Ovis aries: one gene and its partner. The protein of the gene in region 1 interacts with the protein of each later gene in a biochemical or structural test. Links are inferred from orthologs where the notes say so. Each region holds a gene or a part of one and is shown in the gene's direction. Other genes may lie near its edges.

Region 1 (9,720 bases):
CACACAACTGACCTGTGAAGGGAATAAAAAAACAACAGTTCATGGCTGGGGCCAGCCTGGGGCTGGGTGTCCTGGCCAAGCCACTTGCCCTCTCTGTGCCTCAGTCTCCCTCTTGCAGGATGGGACGCTTATGTCCACCTCCCAAGCTTCAGGGACCCAACCGAGAACCAGGCCCTCTCTGTCTGCACAGGCAGGGTGCCGGCTCCAATGAGTGGCTCTGACCGCAGACATTTCACGTGGCTATACTCCCTGTCTGCCCAACTGGGGCCTGAGGCTTTCGGGATTCTAAATTTGGGTTCCTGAGCAGACAGTGGGCCCTCAAAGCCCACCGCACAAGTCAGCCCAGCCTTGAGATGCTGGAGCAGGTGACCTCTCTGAGCTGGGACTTGCCTGCAGAGCATCTCTGAGGCCCCAGGATGGCTATTTCAAGCTTTCCTGTGGCCAGTGAGGCTGTGATGTCTGCAAAAGCTATTTTGGACAGAATGACACCTTCTACAGTGTGGCTGGGGTTCCCACGAGTGTGATTGCTATGCGTGGTTACAGAGGCTTGTGAGTGAAGGGCAGTGTGTGTGCATTTGCATGTGTGTGTGTAGGCTGGGTATTCTCTGGCTAGAGACCAAGTCCTGGCTGGGCCGGGGGGTGGGGTGGTCTGCAGGGAGAGGATACCTGGGGTGCATCCTTGCCCCGGGCTCCTCTAGCCTTCTGTTGGGAGCAGCAGTTGTGAGAGAGCAGGCTGATGGAGGGGGAGGGCAGCTTGTCACTGCCCCATCAGAGCCAGGAGGGGAGCCTGGGCCTCCTCCCAGGGACACCCCATCCTCTTGGCCTAGGGGAGCCTCCTGAGGCTACAGCCCCACGCTCAGAGCCTCATGTCCCCTGCAGTACGAGGCTGTCATGGACCGTGTCCAGAAGAGCAAGCTGTCGCTCCACAAGAAGGCCATGGAGGTGAGCCTGGAGGGGCGGCTGTGTTTGGGGTGTGGATCCTAGGAGCCTTGGGATAGGGCTGGGCTCAGGCTTCCATCCAGCAACAGGCACAGCAGCCTGTCAGGTTCCTGGGGCGCACTGGCTGCCAGGGTGCCATGCAGATCAGCCCGGGGGCTCTGCCCCCTACCCTTGTTGGGGGTGGTGCTTCTGACTGATGGGTAAGCAACCAGTCTCAGACAGTGGTCCACAGGGTCACACACGCTGGCAGCTGGGGATTCCGCAGGTGAAGGGAGAAGGGACTCCTGAGCTGTCTGAAAGGACCGCGTGCACAGGGTCTGGCATCGTGATGAAACACAGCATTTCCCGAGCCCTGCAGGTGGTCTGACGTGACCACACCTCTGAAGAGGCGGGGGCATGGACCAGGCTACACTGTCCCCAGTGGAGAGGGGGGCCTGGGAACAAGACTCCCTTCTTCATCTCCATTCCAGACCCCGAGATCTCTGTCCCTGGTGTGGAGGCCCCCTTTCCATCTACAGCCCGACGGGGAGAAGGGAGGTTGGGCTCAGGAGCCTCACCTTGGGGCCCCCAAGTCACGCCCCTCCACACCGCCCCCTCCCTCCCCCCTGCCCAGTCCAAGAAGACGTATGAGCAGAAGTGCCGGGATGCAGATGACGCTGAACAGGCCTTTGAGCGCATTAGCACCAACGGTCAACAGAAGCAGGTGGAGAAGGTGCGTGCAGTCACCGAGGCTGGGCAATCTCATGGGGCTGGGGGCAGGGTGGGAAGGGGTGCCGCAGACTTCCCCAGGCAAGGTTTCCTAGAATCTCAAGGTCTAGATAGTCAGTTTGATCCCCTTTGCTGTCTCCAGGCTGCACCCAACGACCCATTCCTCAGAGCAGGCCCACTGCAGCCCAGGCTCAGAGCCCACAGGGCAGACACTAACCCTCACCCAACCCTTCGGAGAAGGGCTCAGTAGGCCCATGTCCCAGAGAGGAAACAGGCCCAGAGATGGTGAGTGACTTGTCCAAGGTCTCAGAGCCAGGCAGGAACAGAGAAAGGACCTCAAACCCAGGCTGTCCAGAACCCAAGCTCTTGACTACTCCGGCCTCTTGGCCAGGGTGGGAATATCAAAGCCCCCAGGACCCACGAACACATTTGGCCCATTGCACAGACAGGAAAGCTGAGGCCCAGAGAGGGCAGGGGCCTGCGGGTGAGTTGGTGGCAGCAAGTCAGGGACAGAGCCCAAGCCCCAACCAGCAGGTCCAGCAGTGGCTGTAGAGCCCCAGGTCTGCATTGCTTGCTCTAGGTCTTCAGGTCTAGTTTTCACGTGTGTCTGCATGACCGGGTTTCTGTTTTATTCCTATTTTATTAGAAAGAGCCTGTGGTCCTTTGTGGGGTGAGGCTGGAGTGGTTCCGGAGGGCCCCTCAGGGCTAGCGTCTGCTCTCCCTGCCCCATGAGAGGTGGCCGGGAGGTGCCCCATGTGACGGAGGCCCTTCAGGGAGGCCCAGGGAGGCCAGGGGCCCGAGGTCTGGGCTGGGAGGCGCGGGGCCGGGCCTCAGTGCCGCTTTCCCTCTGTCTTCTCAGAGCCAAAACAAAGCCAAGCAGTGCAAGGACTCAGCCCTGGAGGCAGGTACGCGGCTGGCCCGCCTCCTCAGCTTAGGGGGTGGGCAGCCCGGACATCTTTCCCCCGGCAGCACACTGCCTCCACCCTGGGACACAGTCCCACGCTCCTCACTCTTGCTTCCTTATGCAAGTAAAATGAAAAATTCATTTTCTCGCATTTGCCAACACTGTTCTTGGTGCTTTGTATGTTTTTACTAATGCTCACAACAATCCTATGAGGTATTCACTGTTACTATCCCTCTCTTAACAGGTAAGGAAACTGTGGCACAGAGAGGTTATTTAACTTGCCCAGGGTCACACAGCCAATAAGTCATGGTAACTGTATTTGAATGCAAGCCGTCTGGCTCCAGGGCTGAGGACCTTCACAGCCACTGATCAAGGGAGACAGGCCCACTCGTTGCACGTACACCTCTCTCTCTCTCTCATATACACTGGGACACATCACAGCCTTCTCTGGGCATATGTCTCCTCTATCCTCCTCCCGATGCCAGAAGATCCCAACAGCCCTCATCTCTGCTGACACAGCTCTGCCTTCTGCCACACCGCCTGTCCCAACACCCAGGCAGAGGCTCCCTTGGCTGGCGGTCACAGAGCTCACGGTCCAAGCCCGCTGGCTTCCTAGCCCACCAGCTCCCAAAGCTCCCCTTCATCCTTCTCCAGGGCCACCCCCTCTGAGCCTCAGCTTCTCATCTGGAAGGTGGGATGGTGAGAGGCCCAGACTCTGACCTTAGGCTCTGCCCCAGCCCGAGGCAGCTGGAACACAGTGAGCGCTGAGCACCTCTCCAGGAGCGGTACCAGGGTGAGGGGCCCTGACAAGCGCTCATCTGTGGCTCCAGCAGCCAGAGCAGGTCCCTCCAGGGAGGAGGAGGGCACTGAGGGAGCACAGGGGTGGGCTAGCTTCCCTGAGGACCCGTGTGCTTCCAGAGCGGGTGTACAGGCAGAACATCGAGCAGCTGGAGAGGGTGCGGAATGAGTGGGAGCAGGAGCACCGGGCCACCTGTGAGGTGAGTGACCCCTTGGTGCGGAGCTGATGCCCGTCCCTGCTCCGGCCGCTTCGTGGGGGAAGAGGGGACCGCAGTGGGGAAAGCCAGCCTTCCTTCCCTCATTCACTCATCCGCTCACTCCAAGGCCCTCCCCAGGGAGCTCCCTGCCTGCCTTTGTGCTTGGAGTCCCTTTCTGCAGGCAGGCAGGCAGGCATCCTTCGCTCCTTTTGGCTGAAGCCGCAACTGAGGCTTGAACAGAACCCATAGCTTCCCTGGGCTCTGATGATGAGCAGGGCCTGGGAGACAGGATTCAGGGTCCAGTGCTTCTCTTAAGACACACCCCAGGGGGGTGGTAGGGTCTGGGGAAGGGCAGGGGGCAGAGTCCCACAGGCAGTTCAACTTCCCAGAAGCCTCAAGGGCTGGCACAGAGGTGGGCGTGGGGACCCCCAGCCTTTAGGCTTCCTTTAGGCTTGGCTTCGGCAGGCCGGTTCTGGCTGGTCAACTCCAGCGGCGCTGTGGGTGGGGCCCGGCTTGGCCAAGCCCTACTGTGACCCCATCTCTCCTCAGGCCTTCCAGTTGCAGGAGTTTGACCGGCTGACCATCCTCCGCAACTCCCTGTGGGTGCACTGCAACCAGCTCTCCATGCAGTGCGTCAAGGACGATGAGGTGGGGGCTGAGGGCAGGGGGTAGAGGGGAGGGGTGAGGGGAGGGCAGCCTCCGGGCCACAGTGAGGCCGGTCCACCTGAGCCTGTGAGCAGACCTAGTCCTCTGTGGCCTGAGCCCTGGCCTCAGGGTCTCCGAGCCCAGCACCGAGCCTCTACCCCAGGCCCCAACGACAGGGAGCTCAGGACTGTGCAGGCCACGGCCTCTTGGCCTGGAAGACGTGCGTTGTGGTTACCCTGGCGTCTGCCCTCTCTGCTCGCCCCAGCCCTGAGGCCTCAGCTCTCCTATCAGAGCCCCAGAGCTCTATTCCCTCTGCTGGGAAAGGGAGGGGAGGGGAGGTGGACCCAGGCCCTCAGAGGTTTACAGAGGCTGGGGGACCCTGGGGTTGCCCTGCTCCAGGCCTGGTGCTTGCAGGAGCCGAGGTCCAGTCCCTCTTCTGTCCCCAGACATCTCTAGGGTGTCCTGGCTCCCCCGCCTTACTGAGCTCTACGTGCCAGGTGGGCCCTGCTCAGCAGAAAGGGGTGGCCACCTCCCTGCCAGGGGCCTCGATCTCTGCTGATGCAGCCCTCGCTTGCTCGTTTTCTGCCCTGACCCACCACTGTTACTTGCCTAATCCCTTCTGCCCACGGGTGTGGAGTTTTGGGCGCTTTCCCCCCCAAATGACTTGAGCCCACCTGGTGGCCTCATTGTAGCAGAGGAGGGAGTATGAGTTCTGAACCCTCTCATGCTAGACCCAAAGCCCAGCGCACTGACTTCATTTCCTGCTGTGGGATCTTGGGCAAGTCACTCTCCAGAGCTTTCTCATCTATAAAGGAGGAAGTCCTGTCTCCCATAGAGGATGGAGAAGGAATGTGCACACACTAGGTGCTCAGGAAACAGGAGAAGCTGCCAGCCAGGGCTCTAGCCCTTCAGGCAGGCCTGCAGCAGTTACACCTCAAGGCCCCCGGTCAGGGTTCAGACCCAAAGAGGGGGGCAGGCTTGATACTGTGGGCCAGGTGAAGCCTGGCCCCTCAGCTTCTGCTTCCCCCCACCCCCAGCTCTACGAAGAGGTGCGGGTGACGCTGGAAGGCTGCAGTGTGGACGCCGACATTGACGGCTTCATCCAGGCCAAGAGCACAGGCACCGAGCCCCCAGGTGAGGCTTGCCTGTGGGCAACACGGCTGCTGGGTCCAGGTCCTCCTTCCCTGGAAGGCCTGGCCTGGGTTCTCTGAGCCTCAACTGCCAGGACAGAAGCAGGGTGGCTCACAGCTCCCTTCTGGGTGCCAGGCCCAGGGGAAGGTCAGGGACAGAGCAGGCCCCTGGCTGGGTCCTTAATGTGCTGCCTCCTCGAGAGAGAGGACAGGCAGGGCCTAGGACACTGTAACACTCGAGGGGGGACAGAGGTAGGGAGAGGCAGGAGCCGCCTCAGAGCCCCCACTCCACTCCACGGTTTGGCACCGCTAAATCTTGAGTCTAGAACGTTCGGTCTCAGTGGTACCCACAGTGGGGTCTCTCAGGGAAGTGAAAGGGGGCCCCCTCCTCAAGCACCAGGGCAGGCCAGGGCCAGGATGGGAAGGTGGGCCCTGGTCTGGGTCTCCGGAGGGGGAGAGGATGGGGTGTCAGAGGGCACAGGTACCCCCTGCCCTGCCCTCGTCAGCCTGGGCCTCTCACACTTGTCACCTGCAGCGCCGGTGCCTTACCAGAACTACTACGATCGGGAGGTGGCCCCGTTGTCCAGCAGCCCTGGCGTCCAGCCATCCTGTGGCATGATAAAGAGGTGAGCGCCTGCTGGACACCAGCCGGCTGGGACACACAGAGCGGGGCCAGAGGAGGTGAGCTGCCAGGAAGGGGCCAGCCCCTCCTCCTGCAACTGGCTCTTCCCCACGTATTTATTGGGCACCTATTGTGTGCCTGGTGCAATGTCTAGGTGGGGGGCACTCTTGGGGGACAAGACAGACTCAATCTAGCCTCAGGACACCCTCAGCCCAAGGGGAGCCAGGCACGAAACAGTCGTACCCCACTTATTCACTAGCAACTGTGCTGGGAGACTCCAGGAGGGCTCACCCCTCGAGCTCTGCTGCTGGCCTGGTCGGAGCCTTGGACTGTCAGGCCCCTCAGCCGCTGCACAGGATCAGGGCAGAGGAGCGGGCCCTGCAGCCAGCGCTCTTGGAGAATTCTCCAGCTTTCTCCAAGCCCCCTTCCCTGGCCTGGCTGTGGTAGGTGCCAGGGTCCTGGCGTCAGGCCCCAGTGTGTCACTTGCACAACTCACACGCCTCCTCTAGGCCCAGGGCCTGTGAGTGTTGTGGGCAGACTCAGACCTAGGACCCTCCTGGTTCAGGTCTGTGATGACAGCCCACTGGGAGCATCATAGCCTACTCAGGGTGCACCCACCCTCCCACTCCCCCAGCCAGTTCCCCAAGTGCCCCATCTGTGGGCATCTAAAGGAGCATCGTGGCCTTCACATGGCACCTGTGCCCCATCCCCAGGCCTCCATGACCTCCTCTCTCCCTCCAACCTAGTGCAGAGGAGGCCCTGCCTTTGAAAGGTGGGTGTGGGTGGGGGTGGAGGCAACGGAGCTTCTGGCCCTCCGAGGATGGCTTATTTCTGAGGCTCGTGGGCCCCACGGCATGCTCCTCCAGGAACCATGAGACAGCAAGGACCCTAGGAGGTGGGCATTCCCACCCTCACTATCACACCAAAACCACAGGAGACTCGGACCTCCCTGCACCCCCAGTGAGGGCCAGATGCCTGCACAGGTGGTCACTTAGACAACAGGTCTGAAGAGCTCACTTGGGGGCAGGGCCGAGAAAGGACAGAGAGGAGAGGGGCCTGATGAGGACGAGAGAAAAGAGGGAAAGCAGTCCTGCAGGGGAGGCCTGGCTGCTGGAGAGGACAGGCAGGGACCCTTGTGTGGGGCAGCTGAAGCCAGGCAGGGCTGGGGAGGGGCAGGGGAAGTGAGTGGAGGGAAGAATGGAGTCGAGAGCGTAGATGACCCTGGGAAGGCAGGCAGTGGGGCGCGGCGCCTCCAGCCCCAGCCTGCTGGGCTAACCCTCCCTGGCAGGGCAAGTCTGCATCAGACCTTCCCACGCCTGCCAAGTCTACACTCGCCTATCCATGTGCTCTGTCCTGGACCCTCAGCTCCGCAGACGCTGCCCAGGAAAGGTCTCTGGGTCCCACCTCGCACTACAGGGCAGCTTCCTACAGGCCCTGCCCCTGCCTGAGCCCTCAAGACCCCTCGGTGTCTGGCCTCGTCCCTCTTTCAGTCTTGTCTCCTATACACCCCAAACTGGTCCACTCCACTCCCTCTGCCTGTACGACCTGCACCTCTGCACTCCTCTCCCAGTCACTGGCCATGCCTGGCACCCGGTCTCTGTTTGGTGAAGCTGAGTCTTTGCAGACTTAGCTTGAACCTACCAGGCCAGGAAGGTAGGTTCTACTCATGTAAGCTCTCAGCAGCTCTGCTTCAGGGCACCCACACGGGCCTCCGTACCAGGTGCCCCAGTGTCTGCCTCTTGCTTCTTGCACATTTTTTTTTCTTGTATTCAACATACTTGCATAAGTCTAGCTCAGTCCAGGTCTGAACCAAGCACAGAGGAAGGGGGTGAATCAGCCCAACACTTCCTCCTGGACGACCGCTTTGTGTGGTCGGGGAGTAGTAGGGCTGGCCAGGCTGGTGAAGGTCCCGCAGGGTGTGAGTGGGCTGAGCTCTAGGGGCAGCTCCTTTGCCTGTGGGGAGGCTGGCCAGATGGGGCCCAGGCCCTGGAGCACAGAAGTCTCAGAGCCGCCAGTTTGGCCCTGCAGGGAACAGGTACCGAGAAGACATCTACAGGGTAAGGGACTGGGAGGGTGCTGCCGGGGAAGAGCCACTGGGACCACCCTTTGGAGAGCCCTCATGCCCAGGGGCACCTCATAAGTCACATCTGTGCCCGGAAGCTAGGGCCGACCTTGCGGGCTCCCTGCCTCATCCACTCCCCCCACTCCGACTCACCTGTCCTTCCTGCCCCCAGGTTTTCTGGGCTGCTGCACGGAAGTCCCAAGACCACACCGTCACCGGCTTCTGCGGGTAATTGGGGGTGACAACTGTCACCCTGGCTGGGGGGAGGAAGAGGAGAGGATGCCTACTTGGCACAGATGGGCCTTCCAACAGCTGGGAGGTTAGGGGATGGGAAGAAGCTGAGCAAGTCTGGGGATGCTGTGAGTCTGGGGATGCTGTGAGTCAGGGGGCCTCTGGGGACTACTGATTTTTGCAAGGAGTGGGCACCAGGCCTCACTTTGTACTCAGCCTCCACAGAGACCCTGACTCCTACCCCTGACCGGAATGAGGGTGTCTACGCTGCCATCGCCGTGCAGGAGGCGCCAGGGCCCCCCACCGTGCCAGGCCAGGACTATAGGGCACTCTATGACTACACAGCACAGGTGAGGCCCCCTGCCCTCCCCTCCTTGCGTGGACACCAGCATGCCCAAGGGTGTGCTCACATGTGGGCACATGCACTCTGAGGGTGCTGGGGTGGGTGCCCTTAGAATAGCACCTGACATTCAGGAAGGGCCTGGTGCACACCTGCTGAATGAAAGCTCATGAACGGCACCAGGCCCTGGGTCATGTGGCGTCCAGGCAGGTGTGGGCACTGCTTGGGCTATGCATGTGTGCAGCCAGCTGGTGGAGCTGGAGCTACCCGAGGAAGTGGTCTGAGGGGCAGGCTCTGCATCCGTGGGTAAAGGCCTTGTTCCCCATGACCATGGGTGCCCAGAGCAAGTCATGGTCGGAACTAGGTCCTCAGCTGTGCATGGTTGATTTTCTGAAGCCCACAAGGGGAGGACGAGTCAAGGAGCCACAGGGCAGCTGTGCCCAGACCCCCAGAGACTCTAATTTGTCCCTGCTTTGAGGCGAGGGGTACAGAGCTGGACCCCAGATCCACTGGGACTGAGGCATCTCCTTGGGGCTTGGCTGGCTACACTGACTCCCAAAGCCTGTGCCCTGGGGAGGGGGCACAGCCCAGGAGAATGATGTGCTTGCAAGACAAGGGCTGGCTGTCCTGGGGAATAGCAAACACCCCTGCTCCTGACTTGCTAGCTTGCTGTGTCTCAGGCAGGGAGCGGGAGAAGGGAGCAGCTTGGAGGAAAAGCCAGGGAAGAAGCCCCAGGTTGTGACAAACCGAGGGGACAAAAGGCTGGTCTCTCAGGGCTGCCCTAGCCCGAGTGGCCTTCTCTTGCAGCCCCAGGAGGCCGCCATGTCTCAGCTGACAGCCCAGTTGCGAGACACTTACTGCCTGGGGGGTAGCCTGACCAGAGGCCCTCCCAGCAGGCCCCTTCAGCCGGATGGGTTTTCCTTCTCTTGCCCAGAACTCCGATGAGCTGAATCTCTCTGCGGGGGACATCCTGGAGGTCATCCTGGAAGGGGAGGACGGCTGGTGGACGGTACAACGGAATGGTCAGCGTGGCTTTGTCCCTGGCTCCTACCTGGAGAAGATTTAAGGAAGAGACAGAAGCCCCTCCCTGGACCTGTCCTGCCCGTGGGGCCAGCCGTGCCCCCACTACCCCCTGGCCTTGTGG
Region 2 (10,516 bases), on another chromosome or scaffold:
GTCTATTTCCAAGGGCTTTGTAAGTCCTGGCAGCTCTGTGGTGGGGTTAATGGCGGCCTCCTCCAAGCGGGCTTATGCCATACCCAGGTTTGCTGTACCCAGAGCCCCTGCCCCTGCGGCAGGCCACTGCTGACCCGTACCTCCACTGGAGACACTCAAACCCTTGAACTCATGTTCAAGGTCGGAGAAGCCCCAGCAAGACAGTAGGCTCTGGAGCAGCCACTGCGTGGCGCTGGAGCAGCTGTGAGGAGATACCCCACGTCCGAGGGCTGAGAAGCCCCAGCAAGATGGTAGGAGGGGCGAATTCACGCTTAGAATCAAACCCCATACCCGGCAGAGATGCTCAGAAGGCTCAAATCAACCTTGTGTGTGCCAGGACCAGAGACCCTGCAGAGACTGGTGGCCATGTAGTCTTGAGACACTGGCATCAGCAGGGAAAAACAGGATATTGCCTTAAGGAAAAAACAGCCCACCACCAGGGCATTGTGGTCACTGTGACTTCATCTCTTGTTTGTCAGGTCACCTACAATGGGCCATTTTTTTAACAATACGCCATGAGCCCCTTGTGGACCCTAACAGTGTACACCATATTTTCTTTATCCATCAGTTTATGAAATTTGGTTTCTCACTTTGGGGCTGTTTTGAATAATGCTGCTATGAGCATTTGTGTTCTCTTTAACTTTTTTCTTTGTGATTTATTCTGTTAGGAAATTGGTTTGTCTTGTAGAGTTTCCAGAGTCTGGAATAAAAGCCCTCACAGAGACAGTTACCACCAGTTACTGGTGAATGCAAACTGCCATTTATAACTTGAGTGAGTGGCATTTTTCTGTTTGCCAAATGGCAGACTTGTAGGTGGGCCAATAGGTAAGCCCACCCAACCAAAGGTTCTTAACAGAGAAGAGCAGTGGGAGAATTTTTTCAAATTTCTTCTTCCCTCTTGTGGCCTAGTTAAATAAGGAATTTGGAGAGGAACTTTTCAGTAGGGAATTCAGTAGTCTCAGACTGTCTCCTCACAAGCTTTCTAGGTGAAGGTGGTCTCTCCTGTTTACGATTTCCCCTTTGTAACAACAGCCTAGGCTGGGCTCTGCACAGTATTGTGAAAGCTTCCCTGAGCACCTTCCAGCACCCTGTCCACTTGGCTCTGTTGCTGGCCTCTGAGCTGGCAAGCAGGTGGCAGACTGGCATGTGGGTGTTGGAGTGCCCAGGACCTGCAGGACAGTGCCAGTTGTTCCCACTGCTTGCCTCCAGGAGTGTGTGCAAGAGGGCAAGCAGCAGCAGTGAGTCCCATTGCAAGAACACAGCTTGCAGTTCTCTGGGAGAATGGAGAGGGGTGAGCCACGGCTGCTGGAGGAGGTCTTGCTGGTTTTCCCACCCCCCCACACCCAGTGCCCGAGCTGAGTGGAGGGCAAGCCAGGAGAGTCTGGATGCTGAAGAGACATGGAGGGGTGGCCAGTGTCAGGATGGCAGTCCACTTCACAAGAGCAGGACATAGAGTGGGCCAGGGAGGAAGGTTGGAGTTGTGGGTGAATGTGCACCCAGAAACAGTGAACCATGGCGGAAGCAGGGCAGGTGGACTGAAGTCTCAGCCACTCTGTTCACAGGCCAGATAGGCAGATAGATCCCCAGACAGGCAGACAGACACACAAACCTCTGGTAAGACAGACTTCCAGATAAAGTCCCAGGCAAAGACTACATAGCAAGACAGCCAAACAATGGACAGATTCTTAGACAGGTGGGAAGATGACCAGCCAGGCATGCAGAGAGACCTGTGTCCAGACAGGACACCCCTCCCACCCTGCTTCCAGCCAACGGAAAGACAGAATCCTTCAGGAATAGACAAAGTACCACCACTGGGCAGAGAGACAGTGGAAAGACATCCTACTACCCAGCCAACTATCCAGCCAGATCTTTAGCTTGGCAGACTTAACTCTGCCAGTAAGAAAGACCCCAGCCTATCAGAAAGGTGCTCAGGATAGACAGATGTCCCCTAAACCAGGGGGACAGATAGATATAGACACCCCATCCTGTTGGACAAACACACCTCCAGCCCCTAGTGGAACAGAGATCCCCCAGCTAGCCAGAACCCATTTGCTGCATTAGCTGCCCTGTTTCCTGGTCACCACCACAGATACGCAGGGCTCACTGAGCCTCAGTGTTGCCTCTGCTCTCCAGGTTGACAGTTTCCAGTGACTACTGACATCCAATGACATTCACTACTAGCAGGGTTCAGAAAGCCCATTTGTGATCCGCAGTGGATATTCCTCCTTCACCCTGGTGTCCACTATCCCCAAATGATTGCTATTAGTGTCCATGATTACTCAGGGGCTCAAGTGTCTCTGTGACTCCTCCAATGGACCTCCATATTTTCTCAAAGTTCAGTGATGCTTCTTTATCCCACCACCCTGAGTGCAACAACTGAGTCCTGAGACCATCCAAGAAATCTCAGTGATTACACTGACATTCACTATCGAGCCCTGGTTAGGGGTCCTCAATGAACTTGTCTGACCCTTTTGACCCCTCAATTACTTGGTAAACTAACACTCCAAGTCCCAATGGCTCCCTGGTTACTTTCAGTCTATCACTGACCTCCCAGTAACTGCCACTGACATCTACTGACAGTCTCATGAACGTCGAAGGACCTCTCACTGGCCTGCAATGAACTCACTGATAACGTCAATCCTTGGTGGCCACTACTGACCTCTGAACTTTCAAAGATGACAGTGAGTCAGCAGTGACTCAATCCCTCAATAAGTGAAACATCCCTACTGACCTGCTTTTTGCCTTCTCAGTCACTTAAACAGGGATTGGCAACCTACAGCCTGCAGCCCACCAAAGAAAAAAGACTGACACATGAAATTAAAATTTAAAGTCCACAAATAAAGTTTGGAATACAGCCATGCTTATCCCTTTACATATGACCTATGGTTGCTTTCATCCTGCCTGTCGAAGTTGAGTGGCTGGGACAAGAGCCAGAGACCTCAGTCGTTTAAGAAACAGTTTGCCTGTCTGTGACAACATTCTGATAACTCCCTAATGAATTAGGTTCACACTCCTTACCTCCAAAGTGAAGGATGGGGTAGCTCACCTACACTGAACGGCCCTTGGCAGGGGCCCCTGGCTCCTACCTACTCTCTCCCTTTGTGGCTCCCGGGCAGCAGCTGTCCTCTGGCCTTCTCCCCATTTTCTGAAGACGACAGTATGAGAATGAAAAAAAAAAAAAAATCCTTAAAAGCGTTGAGAACATCTAGATCCCTGGAACCCACTCCCAAAACCTCAATTCTCAGTTTCCTGGAAGTTTTATACAGCTTGAGATTCCCAAATTAGGATGATCCTGGCTCCCTCGGCTCCTCCTGGCCCGACCCAGAAAAAGAAGGAACCTCAAGAAATTTTGTCTTTCTCGCAGCTCAGGTGCCCGGCTGTCATTTCCCCCCGCGGCAACCTCTCCCAACCTCCCTTGGACTCCGCCGGAGCGCAGAGCGGGGTAAGGTCTCCACATAGGGTTTCCCAGTCAGGAATTTCAGCTTCATCTAGGCAGCCGTCTTTACTCACAGCTGACACGCCACCCCGGTTGGGATCCGGATACGTCCAGCTCCCTGGAGGCCGGGCGAGGGCATGTAGCCATCCGCCATGCCAGGGCGTGGACCCCGGGCCCAAGCTAGAGGCGGTGTCCATAGGACCATAGGGACTCATCCAGCCCGCGCGGAGACAAAAAAATTGAAGCGCCGGCGCAGTTTTCTAGCCCCACGCGCAGCCAGGGGAACCTAGCGCCCCCAGTCCGGTAGCCTGTGGGCGGGGCTGGGGCGGGCTCTGAGTGTCATTGGCTGAGGGGCGCGCCCTGTCTGCCGCTGAGCACTCCCATTGGCCGGCGAGATCTGAGGTGGGGCCTGGGCTGCCTTCAGCGGAGTCTACCCCAGCCGAGAGAGCGGAGGTGCAGGTGGACTGCACCTCACTCCCAGGCGGCACCATGAGCCGCAGCTTGGATGCTGCGCGGAGCTTCTTGGAGCAGCTGGAAGCACTAGGCGGCAGGGATGGGGTGGTCTTCGCCGGCGAGTTCAGCGTGAGTGGGCGAGTGTGGACTGCCGAGCTCCTGCTCCTCGCCCTGGACAGTTCGGACCTCCGTCTGTTCTGTGCACCCTGCTGCACTTTGCTTCTCTCTCGGCGTCCAGGGTCGTCTTCTCACTTCGAGATCTCTCTGTTTTTCTCTCCCCAGCACCTCTCTCTGTCGCACTCTCTCTCTCCCTGCCCGTCTTCACCCTCTGCCTGCAGAGCCCCAGAGGGCGAAGTCCACTGCCGGCCCGGGCGGGGCCGCACACGCCCTCGGGTCCCTGCGCGCTAGCTGCGCTCCCGGTATCGTCGGGTTGCTGAGCGAAGGCGAGCGCTCACGCGATGCTCGGCCGCTCCAGGCGACCGGGTGGTCACTGTCCCCACTGTGGTCCTGGGGAGGAAGGGGCTGGGAAAAGAGGAACCAAGAGGCCCCGCTGCAGTGAGGATATGGAGGCCAGTTCTTACAGGCGATGTGGCCTGAGGCTCTTTATCCGGTCTCTGTGGCCTCTGTTTCTCCTAGGGTGAAATGTGACGAAACTGACCTGAGGATTAAAATAGCCAGTGTGGGTAAACCGCGCTTAGCACATCTTGAGCGCTTACTTTATAGGCGGCTTTGCCACTAGTTATAAATAATCCTAAACTTTACAGTGGGGTAGTGCAAGCTATACGTAAGGAGTGCTAATGCAGCAGCGTCGTAGGCATCGCACTGTACAAGTACTGAGATATTTTAAATATAATAACATAGAAACGTGTTAGAATCATATATGGTGACATCTTAAATTTAGAAATGTCTGATAAATATATGTAAGTAATAAATGACTATATATTCATTAAGAACAATAGAAATAGAGAACAGACTTATGAAGTAATTGTATTAATATAAAATATATAGTGTATATGTATAAATATGTCATAAACTATAACTTATACATTAATTTCATAGAACAGAATAAACATGAAAACTCATTTATAAAATGAGCAGTTATTCAAGTTTCTAAGAAACAATAATAAAAGTATACATCTTTATACAAATATAAAATAAATATTATGTATAAGAACTGTGTAATAAATGCAGAATATATAATTTATGCAATATGAAAATGTGCATAATAAATCTAAACATATGATACCCAGGTAGTACATGACATCATATCCATCCAGGTCTGGGTCCAGTTTGGGACAGTGAGCAGTGCTGACAATCCCTATGCAGAAGCTGGGTGGTGAGCAGTGCCAGTTGCTGGAGGCCAGCCTCCTGCAATCTCCTGCGCTCACAAGAATCTTCCAAGGCCTCTCTGGGCCTTGGTTTCCTTATCTACATAGTAGAAATATCCATAGTGGTATCTACTGCAGAAATGTGTCCATGAAGACTTAAATAACCTACCTGATGGGTGTAAGAACACTTAGAATGGTGGCTTGCAGTCACGGTGGCTTGGTAGGTGTTATTTATTATTGTCATGATTATGAATGCCTGGTGATGATGGCAATACTATTCACTGATCATAACAATCTAACAGTATTAAAGCACCTAATAGTATCTACATAAGTAATGTTATACATTTAATTCATATACATTGTATATTATCTTCTTGTGTATCATGTTTGTTATGTTAAGTACATAATATATTACAATTATTGTTCATGATAAGATGTAAATACACACTGAGGGTATGGGGACAGATGCTCAGAGGTCTGAGTTCAACACTCACCCACTTCCTGGGTGGCACTTTCAGAAAGTCACTGACACATGTGGTGCCTCAGCTTTCTTACTGCACAACGGGGAGTCAATAATACCAACTTCGGAGGCACCTTGCAGATAGTTCAATGCCCTTACACAGGGCTTAGCATAGAGAGGGCACTCTGAATGGCTACTGTTATTGAATCAATATTGGAGAAGGGAATGGCAACCCACTCCAGGACTCTTGCCTGGAAAATCCCATGGACGGAGGGGCCTGGTAGGCTGCAGTCCATGGGGTCGCTAAGAGTCGGACACGACTGAGGGCTTTCACTTTCGCTTTTCACTTTCATGCGTTGGAGAAGAAATGGCAACCCACTCCAGTGTTCTTGCCTGGAGAATCCCAGGGGCGGGGGAACCTGGTGGGCTGCCGTCTATGGGGTCGCACAGAGTCGGACACGACTCAAGCGACTTAGCAGCAGCAACACTATCTGGACGCAGCACTCACCTTTCATAGGGCACTTGCCGCATATCCCTTTGAGAGCCTCAGTGTCCCAGGCCTCTGATCTGGCTCCTCTCTTGCTCTCTCTTCCCACCCCCGGGTCTTCTTGCGGTCCTCCCACCAGGACATCCGGGCCCACTCAGCCGCCTGGAAGACGGAAAGCGTGTGCTCAACGGAGGCCGGCAGTCGCCCCGAGAACCTGAGGAAGAACCGTTACAAGGATGTGCTGCCTTGTAAGTTGGGGTGGGGGTGGGGCCTCCGGAGGAGTCGGTGCCCCCACGCTGTGGGATCCAGGTGCTAACCAGGGTCCCTGTGTCCTACTGGCTTCCCAGAACTCTCCCTCCAGGAGCCCTGCTCTGGCTGCATTTATCCCCAGCATCCCACCAGTGCACCCTGATGGGATCCCCCCAGGTGTGCCGTCCCCTGCTGGCTTTCATCTGGGAGGCCATCAGGGCTGTCACCCACAAAGTCCATGTTTCTCACTTCTGCTGGCAGACGATCAGACACGAGTGATCCTTTCCCTGCTCCAGGAAGAGGGACATGGCGACTACATCAATGGCAACTTCATCAGGGTCAGGCTGGGAGTCAGGAAAGGGGCAGAGGTGGTGGAGGTGACAGCAGAACCTCGATAGTGAACTTAGACTTTACCAGGGTGCAGACGGAAGCCAGGCCTACATCGCCACGCAAGGACCCCTGCCTCACACCTTGCTAGACTTCTGGCGCCTCATCTGGGAATTTGGGGTCAAGGTCAGCTTTGGGGGAAGGGGAGGTGTGGCCAGTATTCTGGGTCCTCCCTTGGCCCTGATAACTGCACCCCCTAAACTGATTCTCCTCCCTTACCCCTATGTCTAGGTCATCCTGATGGCCTGTCAGGAGATGGAGAACGGACGGGTAGGTGTGCTCAGCCTCTGGAGTGCATGTCCTTATGCAGGAGACAGGAGAAATCTCACTAGCTCTCCCCTGATCCCATGACTCAAGGGACGGGTTCTTGGAGTGACCCCACTGTAGCTCTGCCAAGCCCACTATTACTGGCTTTAATTTTTTAAATGATCATTTTCCTTTTATTCGTGTGGTTCATCCTTCCAGTGTTGGCAACCCTCTCCTGCTGGACTTCCTGCCCCATAGACCATAAGACCCTGTAACTGTGGCTTCCCCAGTACAAGTCTGATGTCTTTCCCCATGTTTCTCCCACTTATTCACTATGCTCCGACCACTGGGGCCTTTGTTCTGCCTCGAGTCCTATGTTCCGTCTGTTCCCTCTGCCTGGGACATTTTTCCCCTTGGGCTGCTGCATCACCACCCTCAGGTCTTGGCTCAAATGCTCCTTCCTCAATGAGATCTTCCTGGACCTCACCCCATTTGAAACTCCCACTCTCCTTCCCCGGTCCTACTTTCATTTTCCTTCACAGTTCTTAGCAACTTCTGAATGAAATATAAGATAATCTACAAATGCATTGTGTATATTGTTTATTCTGTCTCCCTGAGTAGAAGCAAAGTTCCAGGAGAGCAGGGATCTTTGCTTTGCCCATAAGTATAAATTAGTTACTCAATAAATGTGTATTATCACTGAAGGCACATGGTTTCTGCATCCTGGCCGGCTGGGATAGCTGGCTGATCATGGAGTCTATGCAATCTATAGTGATGTACATTTTTCATCTCTAATTTTGGTAGTTGTGATATCTTCTCTCCTGGCTATTGGGTCTGGCTAGAATAAAGAATCAAACTTTTAACTGTTGTACTAAATCTGTCCTGCTGCCTGTTTTTGTAAATAAAAATGTATGAGAACATAGTCATGCTCATTGGTTTACATAGGGTATACATGCCACAATTGTCACGTTCAGTAGTTGCAAGTTAAGTAGACTGTATGGCTCCCAAAGTCTAAAAGATTTATTATCTGGCCGTTTATAGAAAGTTAGCCAATCTCTGGGCTAGAGGATTATTAGTTTTATTTTTTTCAAAGAAGTGGCTTTGAATTTTATTCATTTTCTCTAATTTTAAATTTTTATTTCATTAATTTCTTTTATCTTTATCATTTCCTTTCTTCTGGTTTAGGTTTAACTTGCTTTTTTCTAGTTCTTTAAGCTTAGATAAAAGATTTGTGATTTTTATCATGTGTAAGTAACGCCATTCATTTTTCTCCATACACTGCTCTAGCTACATTCCATAAACGATGTTGTCTTTTTTTTCCAGTTAATTCAACATGTGTTCTAGTTGCCCTTGTGATTTCTTCTTTGACATGGTATTTGACTATAGCTGTGGTTAATTTCCAAATATTGGGGACTTTTCCATATATCTTCCTGTTATTAAATTTCAGTTCCATTGTGGTCAAAGAACAATTTTATATTATTCCAGATGTATTGAAACTTGTTTTGTGGCCATGAATACGATTTATCTTGGTAAATGTTTTATGTGCACTTGAAAAGAATTTGTATTCTGCTTGGTTGAGTATTCTATAAATATCAGGTCAAATTGATTGTGTCTTTTTGAAAGACACTTTAATATTTTATATCTTTATTGTATCTTCATTGGAAAAGACTCTGATGCTGGGAGGGATTGGGGGCAGTAGGAGAAGGGGACGACTAAGGATGAGATGGCTGGATGGCATCATGGACTCGATGGATGTGAGTCTGAGTGAACTCCGGGACATGGTGATGGACAGGGAGGCCTGGCGTGCTGCGATTCATAGGGTCACAAAGAGTCGGACACAACTGAGTGACTGAGCTGAACTGAACTGAACTGATAGATCTTTACTGATTTCTTTTCTCTAAATGTTCTGTCAGTTCCCAACAGGAGTGTTGAAACCTTCAACTGTTTTATAACTGTCAATTAGTACAAGCTTGTGAATAGTATTACTCAAATTGTATTATTCATATTTTTTTGTCTCAGTTCAGTTCAGTCGCTCAGTCGTGTCCGACTCTTTGTGACCCCACGAATCACAGCACACCAGGCTTTCCTGTCCATCACCAACTCCCAGAGTTTATCCAAACTCATGTCCATTGAGTCAGTGATGCCATCTAACCATCTCATCCTCTGTCGTCCCCTTCTCCTCCTGCCTTCAATCTTTCTCAGCATCAGGGTCTTTTCAAATGAGTCAGCTCTTCGTATCAGGTGGCCAAAGTATTGGAGTTTTAGCTCCAACATCAGTCCTTCCAATGGACATTCAGGACTGATTTCCTTTAGGATAGAGTGGTTGGATCTCCTTGCAGTTCAAGGGACTCTCAAGAGTCTTCTCCAACACCACAGTTCAAAAGCATCAATTCTTCGGTGCTCAGCCTTATTCACAGTCCAACTCTCACATCCATACCTGACTACTGGAAAAACCATATCCTTGACTAGACAGAACTTTGTTGACAAAGTAATATCTCTGTTTTTTAATATGCTGTCTAAGTTGGTCATAACTTTTCTTCCAAGAAGTAAGCATCTTTCAATTTCATGGCTGCAATCACCATCTGCAATGATTTTGGAGCCCCCCAAAATAAAGTCAGCCACTGTTTCCACTGTTTCCCCATCTATTTGCCATGAAGTGATGGGACTGGATGCCATGATCTTTGTTTTCTGAATGTTGAGCTTTAAGCCAACTTTTTCTCTCTCCTCTTTCACTTTCATCAAGAGGCTCTTTAGTTCTTTTTCACTTTCTGCCATAAGGGTGGTGTCATCTGCATATCTGAGGTTATTGATTTTTCTCCTGGCAATCTTGATTCCAGCTTGTGTTTCTTCCAGTCCAGTGTTTCTCATGACGTACTCTGCATAGAAATTAAATAAGCAGGGTGACAATATACAGCCTGGACGTACTCCTTTTCCTATTTGGAACCAGTCTGTTGTTCCATGTCCAGTTCTAACTGTTGCTTCCTGACCTGCATACAGATTTCTCAAAAGGCAGGTCAGGTGGTCTGGTATTCTCATCTGTTTCAGAATTTTCCACAGTTTATTGTGATCCACACAGTCAAAGGCTTTGGCATAGTCCATAAAGCAGAAAGAGATGTTTTTCTGGAACTCTCTTGCTTTTTCCATGTTCCAGCAGATGTTGGCAATTTGATATCTGGTTCCTCTGCCTTTTCTAAAACCAGCTTGAACATCAGGGATTTCACGGTTCATGTACTGCTGAAGCCTGGCTTGGAGAGTTTTGAGCATTACTTGACTAGCATGTGAGATGCGTGCAATCGTGCGGTAGTTTGAGCATTCTTTGGCATTGCTTTTCTTTGGAATTGGAATGAAAACTGACCTTTTCCAGTCCTCTGGCCACTGCTGAGTTTTCCAAATTTGCTGGCATATTGAGTGCAGCACTTTCACAGCATCAT

The links. The genes of interacting proteins can lie anywhere in the genome.
Region 2: the proteins of PSTPIP1 (region 1) and PTPN18 form a complex in vitro, tested with the Homo sapiens proteins (2 studies listed by BioGRID and IntAct). The link is inferred for Ovis aries from reciprocal best matches to the Homo sapiens genes PSTPIP1 and PTPN18.

Annotation. Positions count from the first base shown.
Region 1 is NC_056071.1:29,927,794-29,937,513, forward strand, and holds part of PSTPIP1 (proline-serine-threonine phosphatase-interacting protein 1), read left to right. Parts: intron 1-879; coding exon 880-942; intron 943-1,552; coding exon 1,553-1,651; intron 1,652-2,506; coding exon 2,507-2,552; intron 2,553-3,469; coding exon 3,470-3,549; intron 3,550-4,095; coding exon 4,096-4,194; intron 4,195-5,228; coding exon 5,229-5,325; intron 5,326-5,856; coding exon 5,857-5,947; intron 5,948-8,177; coding exon 8,178-8,233; intron 8,234-8,452; coding exon 8,453-8,586; intron 8,587-9,510; coding exon 9,511-9,642; 3' UTR 9,643-9,720. UniProt on the Homo sapiens protein: Involved in regulation of the actin cytoskeleton. May regulate WAS actin-bundling activity. Bridges the interaction between ABL1 and PTPN18 leading to ABL1 dephosphorylation.
Region 2 is NC_056055.1:114,201,890-114,212,405, forward strand, and holds the start of PTPN18 (tyrosine-protein phosphatase non-receptor type 18), read left to right. Parts: upstream 1-3,897; 5' UTR 3,898-3,964; coding exon 3,965-4,057; intron 4,058-6,342; coding exon 6,343-6,451; intron 6,452-6,713; coding exon 6,714-6,790; intron 6,791-6,869; coding exon 6,870-6,965; intron 6,966-7,070; coding exon 7,071-7,109; intron 7,110-10,516. UniProt on the Homo sapiens protein: Differentially dephosphorylate autophosphorylated tyrosine kinases which are known to be overexpressed in tumor tissues.